2 linked regions of the Caenorhabditis elegans genome follow. The protein of the gene in region 1 interacts with the protein of each later gene in a biochemical or structural test. Each region holds a gene or a part of one and is shown on either strand. Other genes may lie near its edges.

Region 1 (6,131 bases):
ATTCATTTTGCAAGGATGTGGTGTTCTTATTCCTATTTTTATATACTTCTCCTTTTTCTTTCAGAAATTCTAGAAATTATTTTTATGCTAATTGAGATGTACATTTGAGACATTTTCATGCCGTGATGACGTAATCTATCTGAATCTTGAGATATCTATGTACATTCTTGCTAATAACGTGAAAGGTGTCATATGTACTGAGGTCTACCTTATCATTTCCTGATTATAACATCATTGAAACATATTTTAGACATATTTTAATAAATTTCAGTTTTTTTTTGTCCTATCTGGTCAATAGTTTTTTCTACAAAAAAATAGACAAATAAGAATTAAATTCAGCTAAAATTATTGAGATATAGTGTTGAAGAATACGATAAAACGACGGTAATCTTTCATTCGATTAAATTCTAGAAACCAATCGCGTATCCAAAATCTTAAATTTTTATAATTAACAGTTAGCTAGAGTTTCTTTATTGGAACATACAATTAGCACAATACAATTGGAAAACTTCGGTTTAAAGAATCTGTAACAATTTTCTTTTACTTGATTTTGTTCAAGTTTCTCAAGTTTTAGCACGTGCTCTAACCCTGCAATAAAAGTTTGTACTTTATTCAAGTATTCATATTGTACTTGTACTCTATCGTATGATCATATTACTCATGTCTAAAACTTCGGTAGACACGCATTTTTCCAACATTTTTCTTCCATAAATTCCTGTTATCTTGCAAAGTTCATTTGTAAACTAATACAACACATGTCTGGCTGATTTGACCTTTCTCATTGAAATTGATGGATCATGTGTCAAAATGGGACCACTACAGATCACTAGATACTACTATCACTATATCACTATTTAAACATGGCAGATTTCAAGAAAGTTTGCCACATTTTCAGATGAAATCATCTTATTAATTTTGATTTCGAAAACAGATATTAGCAGCCTACCTTCTGGATTTTTCGGTTACAATGTACCTATTTATTAATCAAAAACTATCACTTCTGCATTTTGTAATCATTCCCCAATCATCCTTGTGCGAAAAATAGGATAGTTCTTCAAGTTTTTCCCTTCCCTATACTTTTGCCATATATTTTTTTAATTCCCACTGGACTTTCCCAAAAGAATTATTTTTCGAATATACCACACTTTTAACAAATTTTCTGGATTCGGAAACATTATATTTTTTTTTCTACAAAACCGCAAAGACTATAGTCATTTTTCGAGGTCAACAAACATCCAAATATCATTGCGAGCATCCTATGTTCCTCTAATTCTCTCATACTTTGCTTCCGAAAACCCAAGAATCACAAAAAAATCTTGTTTGATCTTTGCCTTATTTTTCCAACTGCTAATTGACCTTCTTCGTTTATATAATTTTTCACTTTATAGAAATTTACTTTTTAATCAATTTCAAACAACAAAATTTGATACACTTTCTTAATATTATCCTTCTCCTACATTCTCATAAATTTGAAGGTTTCTCTTTCAACATTTCTGATCTAAAAAATGTGCGAGAAAATACATTCTTGGTTTCTTCATATTCATTTATTTCTCCGAAATATGTTCTCTTTTTCTTTGTTTTTAATTTTCGGTTTTCTATGAACAAGTGGTCTTCCTTATTTGGAACACTTCCCCAAACTCTTTCCGAATAAATTGTTTTAAATTTCAGATCGAACGATTCGTCATCTAATTCGTGAGCAAATATGGACGAAGGAGGGGGTATTGGAAGCAGTTTGCTCTCCAGAATCACGACGACAGCCTCTGAAATTATGATGCGAAACGAACCGACGACAACTGAAAATCCAGCTGTTCAAGAAATGAATCATATTTATCATTTGACACCAAGTATGAAGGTGAGACTTTTAAAAAATATTCTTATACATTCAAAGTATATCTAAAAATCCAAATTTTACAAGAGTTTTGAAACTTTGAAAAAAGGAACTAAAATTAGTTTTTTTTACATTTCATATTTAGGCAATTTGGCCATGTTTTTAGCCAATTTTACCTGCTGAAAATTGATTTTAACGTGCCATGTACTTTTATTTTAGTTAATTTATGATAGCGTTTTCTTCAAAACTTGAACCGTAAATAAAAAGTTTTGAAAATTTTTCAAGTGCTATCATTATTAAAATTCGGTATAATTTTTAGAGGCCATTTTAAGTGTAAAAAATGAATAAAATTACTACATTATTACCTTTAATATTTGTACCTATTTATTACTAATTTTTTACAGATGTTATGTATTCTTTTCTATAGTATACTTTGCGTATGCTGTGTCTATGGAAATGTGCTCGTTATTCTGGTTATTGTTTATTTTAAACGACTTCGAACGGCGACTAATATTTTGATATTGAACTTGGCAGTTGGTGGGTTTTGTTACTTTTGAATTTTTGAAAACTTTTTATAATTTTTCAAATCTCCAGAACTTATATGAGCTTCTAAATGGATAAGTTTAAAAAATTAATTAATCTAAGATGTTGAGCAAATTTCCCAAAAAAACAACTAAAATTGCAGCTGATCTTCTCATATCAGTATTCTGCATTCCGTTCAGCTATTGGCAAGTATTGATTTATGATGATCAACGTTGGCTCTTCGGCTCAATGATGTGCTCTTTATTAGCATTCCTTCAAGCAATGGCTGTATTTTTATCAGCTTGGACACTTGTCGTTATCAGTTTTGATCGGTGGATGGCTATAATGTTCCTTTTAACTCCAAATATTCGAATTACAAGACGAAGAGCTCTTTATCTGGTAGCTGCCACGTGGATATTCAGTATCCTAATGGCGTTGCCGTTACTCTTCACAACGAGATTTTTCGAAGACCAAGACGGTTTACCGAATTGTGGAGAAAATTGGACGTATTTTGGAGATTCTGGAGAACAAGTGAGAAAAGTGTATTCTTCAATGGTCTTAATTCTACAATATGTTGTACCTCAAGCAGTTTTAATAATAACTTACACACATATTGGAATTAAAATGTGGAATAGTCGAGTACCAGGAATGCAGAATGGAGCAACAAAGAAAATGATCGTTGATCGACATGAAAGTGTCAAAAAGGTGAGATTTCTGGAATTATTAAAAATTTAAGCCTAACCTTTCAAAAACTCCCAGTTTTGATTTATTAGAATAATAAGAATATGGAAATAATGCAACAATCAATGGCTCCTCAGTGCGGTGATGATAATAATAACCATAATCAAAGTCAACCGACCCCTATATTTATAGGAACAATATTCTCATGTGTAGCATAAAAATAATAATCAAAAATCGTTTTTGACATAACCTTTTCCAAATCATTATTAAGTGAAACTTTAAAATTGAAAAAAATTAAATCAAAGTTCGAAGTTATTACATTTTACCTGCCTATTACATGACGGTTTGATAAAGTTGTTCAGTAGATTGAAATATCGTTTTTACTTATTTTTATCAAATACAATAAATATTACCGCGTGAGAAACGAAACCTGTTAATTAAATAAGATTTTTAGCTGGTCCCAATGGTGATTCTCATTTCGGCACTCTTCGCACTTTGTTGGCTTCCTTTACTTATACTGATCAACGTCATTCCAGAATTCTATCCAGATATCAACAGTTGGGGATATATTCTGTATTTGTGGTAAGAAATATTCTTTTAATCTGACTCAATAATTTGGTTTTAAAAATCGCATTTTGAGGTGGTTTGCTCATGGACTTGCCATGTCTCATTCAATGGTCAACCCAATTATCTATTTCATTCGAAATGCCCGTTTCCGTGAAGGATTCTGTTTCTTCTCTTCAAAACTTCTTCCATGTATATCATTTAAAGAACTTCGTCTTTTAACTGATAATACTAGCAGAAGGTATGTCAATTTCTACAAAGTTGTCTGTTTTTGAATTGAAGCCAAGAGTTAGGAGCAATTCAGTTTATTTATGTATCAACCTTATTTGTTGATAACCAGTTTGATAATTTTAATAACTCAACAATATCATTCAGTTTTCGAAACCGTTCACGGTTTTCTGGTGTCATAAATCCGACTTCAAGCGATGAAAAACCTGCTGTAAGGATGTTCTCTAACCCATGTTTTTTGTCCTTCTTGACTTTTTGTTTGGCTTGGCTTTTTTATTTTTACATTTTAAAGTTTATTTTGCACTGCTTCACATGCACTAATATGTTGATTAAGTTAATTTCATTTTAAATTATGAGTATATCGTATTTCCTCTTTTAGTATTGCACACCATTGTTCAACTTTGACAGTGTATATCTCAGTTATCATTTGTTCCATTTAAAAATTGTCAACTAACAAAATATTTTTTAGTTCTTTTTCTATAATTTCGTAGTTAAAGATATAATGATATATTCAAAATAAACCGATATATAACGTTACAAAGTAAAGTTGTCCGGTGCATTACTAAGAGAGGAAATACGGTACGTTAAATTAGCAAAATTAAAAATCTTCTAAGTCAGCCTAGGTCGTTCAGCGCAGTTAATTTGCGATGGACCCATCAGAATCCTAGAGCAGTGATTTATCTACACATCGTCAAAAAAATCGGACATTGCGCATACTGCGACTCGTAAGCTGCCTATAATGAGCACATTGAGCCAGGATTGCTATGAAATCATTGTGCTTGTTTACTGAGTCATTATGTGCCTGTCGCGAATTAACTGCGAACTAAATTTTGCCACCAAATGATAGAGGGAAAACCCCTACTACTGAGAAAGTGTTTGCCGATGAAGTTTAGCGAAACCTAGAACCATAAGAACTTGTAAGTAAAACTTTAAAAACAGTTTTTAAATTCAAATGCTTTACTTCTAAACCCTTTTTATTAATTAAACGCCTCAATTATATCCACTGCCTAGTACACATTTTCCAATCTGATTATTTCCACAACATCGACTTTCTTCCTAGCCACAACCTAATTTTCAATATTTTCAGACATCGCTTACGAGATATTCACGAAGTGGAGTCCTTGACAGGCAAACATGTCGTTCGGCACGTTTCTTCGAAGCCCGACCACTCGTCGTCGTCCGAAACAACTCTGCCAATTCTCTCGCGTAGCTTTTCCCGTATCATTAAGAAAATTGATCTACCATGTACTTGAGTGGAAAGCTATAGAAGACCATAGATTCAAGGTTTTTGTTATTTGAAATTGTATTTTAAAGCATAATTTCACAAATTATGTTTATATTCCATCCATTTTATTGTATTGTAAGAAAAAACCCCTCAGATCTCCTAAGAAACAATTTTATATGAAACATCAATTGTTGTCTGAAACGCTTTTCATACCGGTAAATACTCGCCCCACCAAATCCACGAATCATCACCAATATTTTAAACTTGTACCATACAAATTGCGTGTTTTCATTTTATTTGAATATTTTTTCAAAACTAAATGTAGAAATAAATGTTAGAATACTACAAATTTACATCTGACAGATTTAAAAGAATCCAATGAGTTGACTGAAATTTTGTAAACTGGCAAATTACTGAGCAATTCAGATAAATATTTGATTGATTTCGGTTTCAAGCTTGTAGTTCCACGTGTGAAGGTTTATTTACAGAGATTCGGCATTTGTCTATTTTTAGAAGGGATGCATTTTCCGTGAATTGTATGCAAGTATTTTATTAAAGAAAAATGAAATAAGCAGTCTTGATAGGCAGACACTTATATTTAAAGTATATAGTCACTCCAGAAAACAGACAAGAAAACAATCAAAGTGAACAATTTTTATGCATTTTCATTCAATCTTTATTCTTCAATTTTCTCATACACTTCACAAAAGTAAAGCATATGAAAACCAAAAAACACAAAACACCGTCAGCGACTTGTTGTATGCAGAAATAAATCAGAAATGATTGTCACTTATCCCTTTGTGTTGAGATGTTGTGGCGCCTTGTAAGCCAACTCGTGGACTCCTCCATTGTACAGCTTGGCAACGATTCCGGAACGAGCAGCCGCGAGCCAAATAGCTGAAGCTGAGAGTCCGATTCCGCAACCAATGACAACGGTGTCTCCGACTTTGATTCCCTTGGCGGCGAAGGCTGGAAGTATTCAGTTAACTTCTGCAAATGATATCAACTAACCTTGATCACAATCAGTCTTCTTCTTGAATCCCTTGGCAGCACAAACTTCTCCGATTGGGAAGTGAATCGCAT
Region 2 (3,533 bases), on another chromosome or scaffold:
TTAGGTTTTCCGTGGGATCCGCTTGGGTTTTGAGTGGGATCCACTTGGGTTTCGTTTGCCTGAGGTGATTTAAAAAACTTAAAATTTATTAAAATTAAAAAAAAACAATTTTCATTGATATTGCGTATAATTTAACGTCTTTTACGCAATGCACACACTGACGTAAAAATGCGTACACAGTAGTTTTAAAACTTTTTCATAAAACTGTATTTAAATAGATCGAAAGTTTTTGAGAATTAAAAAAAATTATTTGCAAAATAATAAAACCAATTTGTGTTTATGCACATGGAGTCAGAATGTCTTATTTCGCTTTGATCTTCAAAAAATGCGGGAAGTGAGACGCAGTCATCTCATCTGATTTCACATGGCTAAGAGCGTGCTGACGTCACAATGTTTTTGGAAAAATATTCCCGCTTTCATTTACCGGAACAAAAATTAAAACATGTCTCTAAAGACAGATTTCTTCGGAAAACTGGGTAGCATCGTGCACGATCGTGTAATTAGTTAGTCTCACATCATTTGTGAACACAAAAGTCGCTTTCTATTGACACTAATTGACACTAACAAAGATCACATTTATTCAGTAGCCATTACACAGTTGTATCCTGAAACAAAAATAATGTATTTTTGTCCAAAAATATTATTTTTAAGCCACAAAATAAAATTTCCAAGTCGAGTGATTAACGAGAAGAAGATGGGTCAGATTTCTAGGTCGATGGGAAAAAAAGGTGATAGAAGTAAACAAAATATAAACAATAAATTAATAATCCTGTTCAGAAACTGCTTCAGCTCCACTACGCTTTCCAAATCTCATCCATTTTGCTGATGGAGATCGTTTTCCGAATCTAAAAATTGTATTGTTCCGGATTACATGAGAATTCAATTTATTTATGCTAAAATTTTTCGAGTTTTTGAATGTTCATGCTGAGCTATTGGAGTTAACTTTTATGACAAAAGTTCCAAAAACTTGAGAATATTTTTATGTCCTATAAATTCTCATTCAGCCAGCATAAATTCTTATAATTGTAGAACTAACTTTTATGTGTTCCCCCCATCTCCCCCACAAACAACTTTTGAAAAAAAAAACATTATTCTTCAAAAGTTGATGTCATTTTCACAAAAGAAAACGTTTTGAATTTCCCACGGTTTCAGCTCCCTCGCCTTACCTCATCCACTTGGCTGATGGTGATCTTTTACCGAATCGCATCCATTTGGCTGACGGGGACCGTTTGACTTGCTATAAATGTGAGAAATTTAAAATGAAATTCGACACCTAATATTGCTCCTGAACTTTCTTTACCTAAACCATTGTGTTCGCTATATACAATTATTAGGACGAGAAAAGTTAGATAATGATAATGGTTGTTGATACTTAAATATTGAGCAAAACTAATAGTAGATCAAACTTTATAGTTTTGTTCTGTCATCTATCGTAGTACAAGAAACTTGACGCTCAAATTCCCAGAATCGAAGTCTAGCCAATAAACATACTTGCTCCATAAGACGTGCATCATTCTGTTCGAGACCAGCCAACTGTTGTCCATCCAAATCGAAGACCTGAGCCGACACCAATGATACCATCAAAACAACACAAAGGGCAATCATGGAACGGTTCATTTTTGTGTATATCCTGAAATAAAACTTAATTTGGTAATATTTATTGAAGTTGAAGGTAGACAATCGAATATAGAGATTGCAGGTATGACTATCAATAAGTCATATGTTGTCAATGTGTGACGTCACGCAAAGCCATTAGTTTAGTTTGTCATAAAGTTAGTTTGACTTCTTAAAATGATATTTTGAAGCATACAGAGGATCCTGATAACTTGCAAGCTTAGAGTACAACGGCGAAAAATGAAAATAAAACTTTAATGGTTATTGAGTTCATTGAGAATATTCACTTATTATAAGGAAAATAAAAACAACAGATTGTTCCGAGGAAATTATGATTTTCAGAATATTTTCAATTTCCTTTCTTTGTTTTTGTTGGTTATATGACAACAAAACGTTCCCATAAGCAGTTGAATGAGGGCTCATAAATAAATAATTGCAATTAAAAATAAGATCAACATATTCAGATTCATCTGTTTTTTCAGTGAACAATCATATAACTCTAGTTCAGGAACTACTTATTTCAAATTGAGCAGAACTAATATGCGGTTTCCGGAAGGCTTTTTCAAATGATCTTTGTCATTTTAAGAGTATATAGTTTTCATTTAAAAGTATAATGTAAGTTTTCCCCGAAAATTAATAGGTATGAACACTCAAATTTTCACTGAAAAGATTGTGACTTCTCTGGGAATGTCCCTCGCAAAAAAAAACGTTGATATTGTTGTGATCACTAAAGTGTGGTTCCAATTCAATTTTTCCACATTCACTGCTCAAAAGGAAACCGTCAAGTGGAATGAAGATGCTTCTCTTGCCATCAGATTCAATTTCCCTCTTAGCGAGAGAAACGAGAAAACTGTTAGGTGGGTGAAAAAGAAGAAGGAGAAATATACTGAAAACAAGTGCCAATATACAATATATCCTTGTTCTCACGCTCTGCTCTATTCACATTTTCTAACCGAAAAAAAATGTAAAAGTAATTGGGATTATAGTCCCAGAAGGCATGTGATATTGGAAAACAATGATGTGATATAAAAACTTTTATTATAATGTAAACGTATTGTGATATGCCTTTCTTTTTGAAAATAATTAAATTAAATTTTTGAATAAAGTAAAGCGAGGGTCTTTTCTATATGATGCCCTCGTGGATAGTATAGTTTTAACTACAGTAACACGTGGCATCCTCATGTTTAGTAGCGTGACGTCACACCTCCCAAAAAGAAAGTTGCCGCCTTTTCGGTGGGTCAAATGGGTAACGAGAGTTGCCAGATTTTGAAATTTGATCTCAATTTTGATAATCTTGTTGGATGTAAAGAAAAACAATTAAATTGCCAATTTTCAGAGACTTCCCCCATAAAAGCTCCTGAAAAAAATAAAACGCGTTTTTTTCACTTTTCAGGGGTAGTAATTGTTGGGCTGAAAAAAGCTAGAAGGCTGAAAAAGTTAGATAATGAAAAAATAGAGAAATTTAATGCAATGAAAACAAAGAAATGAGTCAAGAATGCGACAATGATCACATAATATTTATGCTCAATTTCCTGAGGGTTCGTTTTTTTTTTTCAATTTTATTTGTCAATTTTTTTTGTGAAATTTTCGTTTCAAATGAGAAAAGGTACCGGAAATTGAATGAAACTGAAAAAGGAAACGCTGTGCAAAAAGTGATGGATGACTCAGTCATTTTTCATGAAACATTGGGCATTTTCTGATTTAATTTTTTTTTCAAAATTATATACTAGGTGGTGTTTCCTGCAAGTGACAGGACTGATCTTTATAATCTAAAATGTTTTATTTTCATTTCAAAATATTAGTTTTTATTATATTTTCATTTCATAAACTTTTTTTTGGGTTTTTAACGATATATTTTCAATTTCGGATCAAATTTGAAAAAAAAGAATCTCAATTCAACTGCATTAAAACAAATTAAA

Evidence for each region.
Region 2: of the proteins of npr-22 (region 1) and flp-22, one has a biochemical effect on the other in vitro, tested with the Caenorhabditis elegans proteins (one study listed by BioGRID).

What each region holds. Positions count from the first base shown.
Region 1 is NC_003282.8:8,557,766-8,563,896, forward strand, and holds npr-22 (Neuropeptide receptor 22), read left to right. Parts: upstream 1-1,666; 5' UTR 1,667-1,702; coding exon 1,703-1,852; intron 1,853-2,232; coding exon 2,233-2,365; intron 2,366-2,513; coding exon 2,514-3,055; intron 3,056-3,485; coding exon 3,486-3,613; intron 3,614-3,671; coding exon 3,672-3,836; intron 3,837-3,970; coding exon 3,971-4,034; intron 4,035-4,910; coding exon 4,911-5,033; coding exon of another isoform or gene 5,034-5,076; 3' UTR 5,077-5,396; downstream 5,397-6,131. Other genes in the region: mpst-6 (thiosulfate sulfurtransferase), read right to left, coding at 5,839-6,017, 6,060-6,131. UniProt on the Caenorhabditis elegans protein: Receptor for the LURY-1-1 and LURY-1-2 peptides which control food-related processes including feeding, lifespan, egg-laying and roaming behavior. Receptor for flp-7 which stimulates serotonin-induced fat loss.
Region 2 is NC_003279.8:8,656,996-8,660,528, reverse strand, and holds flp-22 (SPSAKWMRF-amide 3), read right to left. Parts: upstream 1,631-3,533; 5' UTR 1,618-1,630; coding exon 1,492-1,617; intron 1,238-1,491; coding exon 1,167-1,237; intron 846-1,166; coding exon 761-845; 3' UTR 562-760; downstream 1-561. UniProt on the Caenorhabditis elegans protein: FMRFamides and FMRFamide-like peptides are neuropeptides. SPSAKWMRF-amide: Acts as a ligand for the npr-22 receptor in vitro.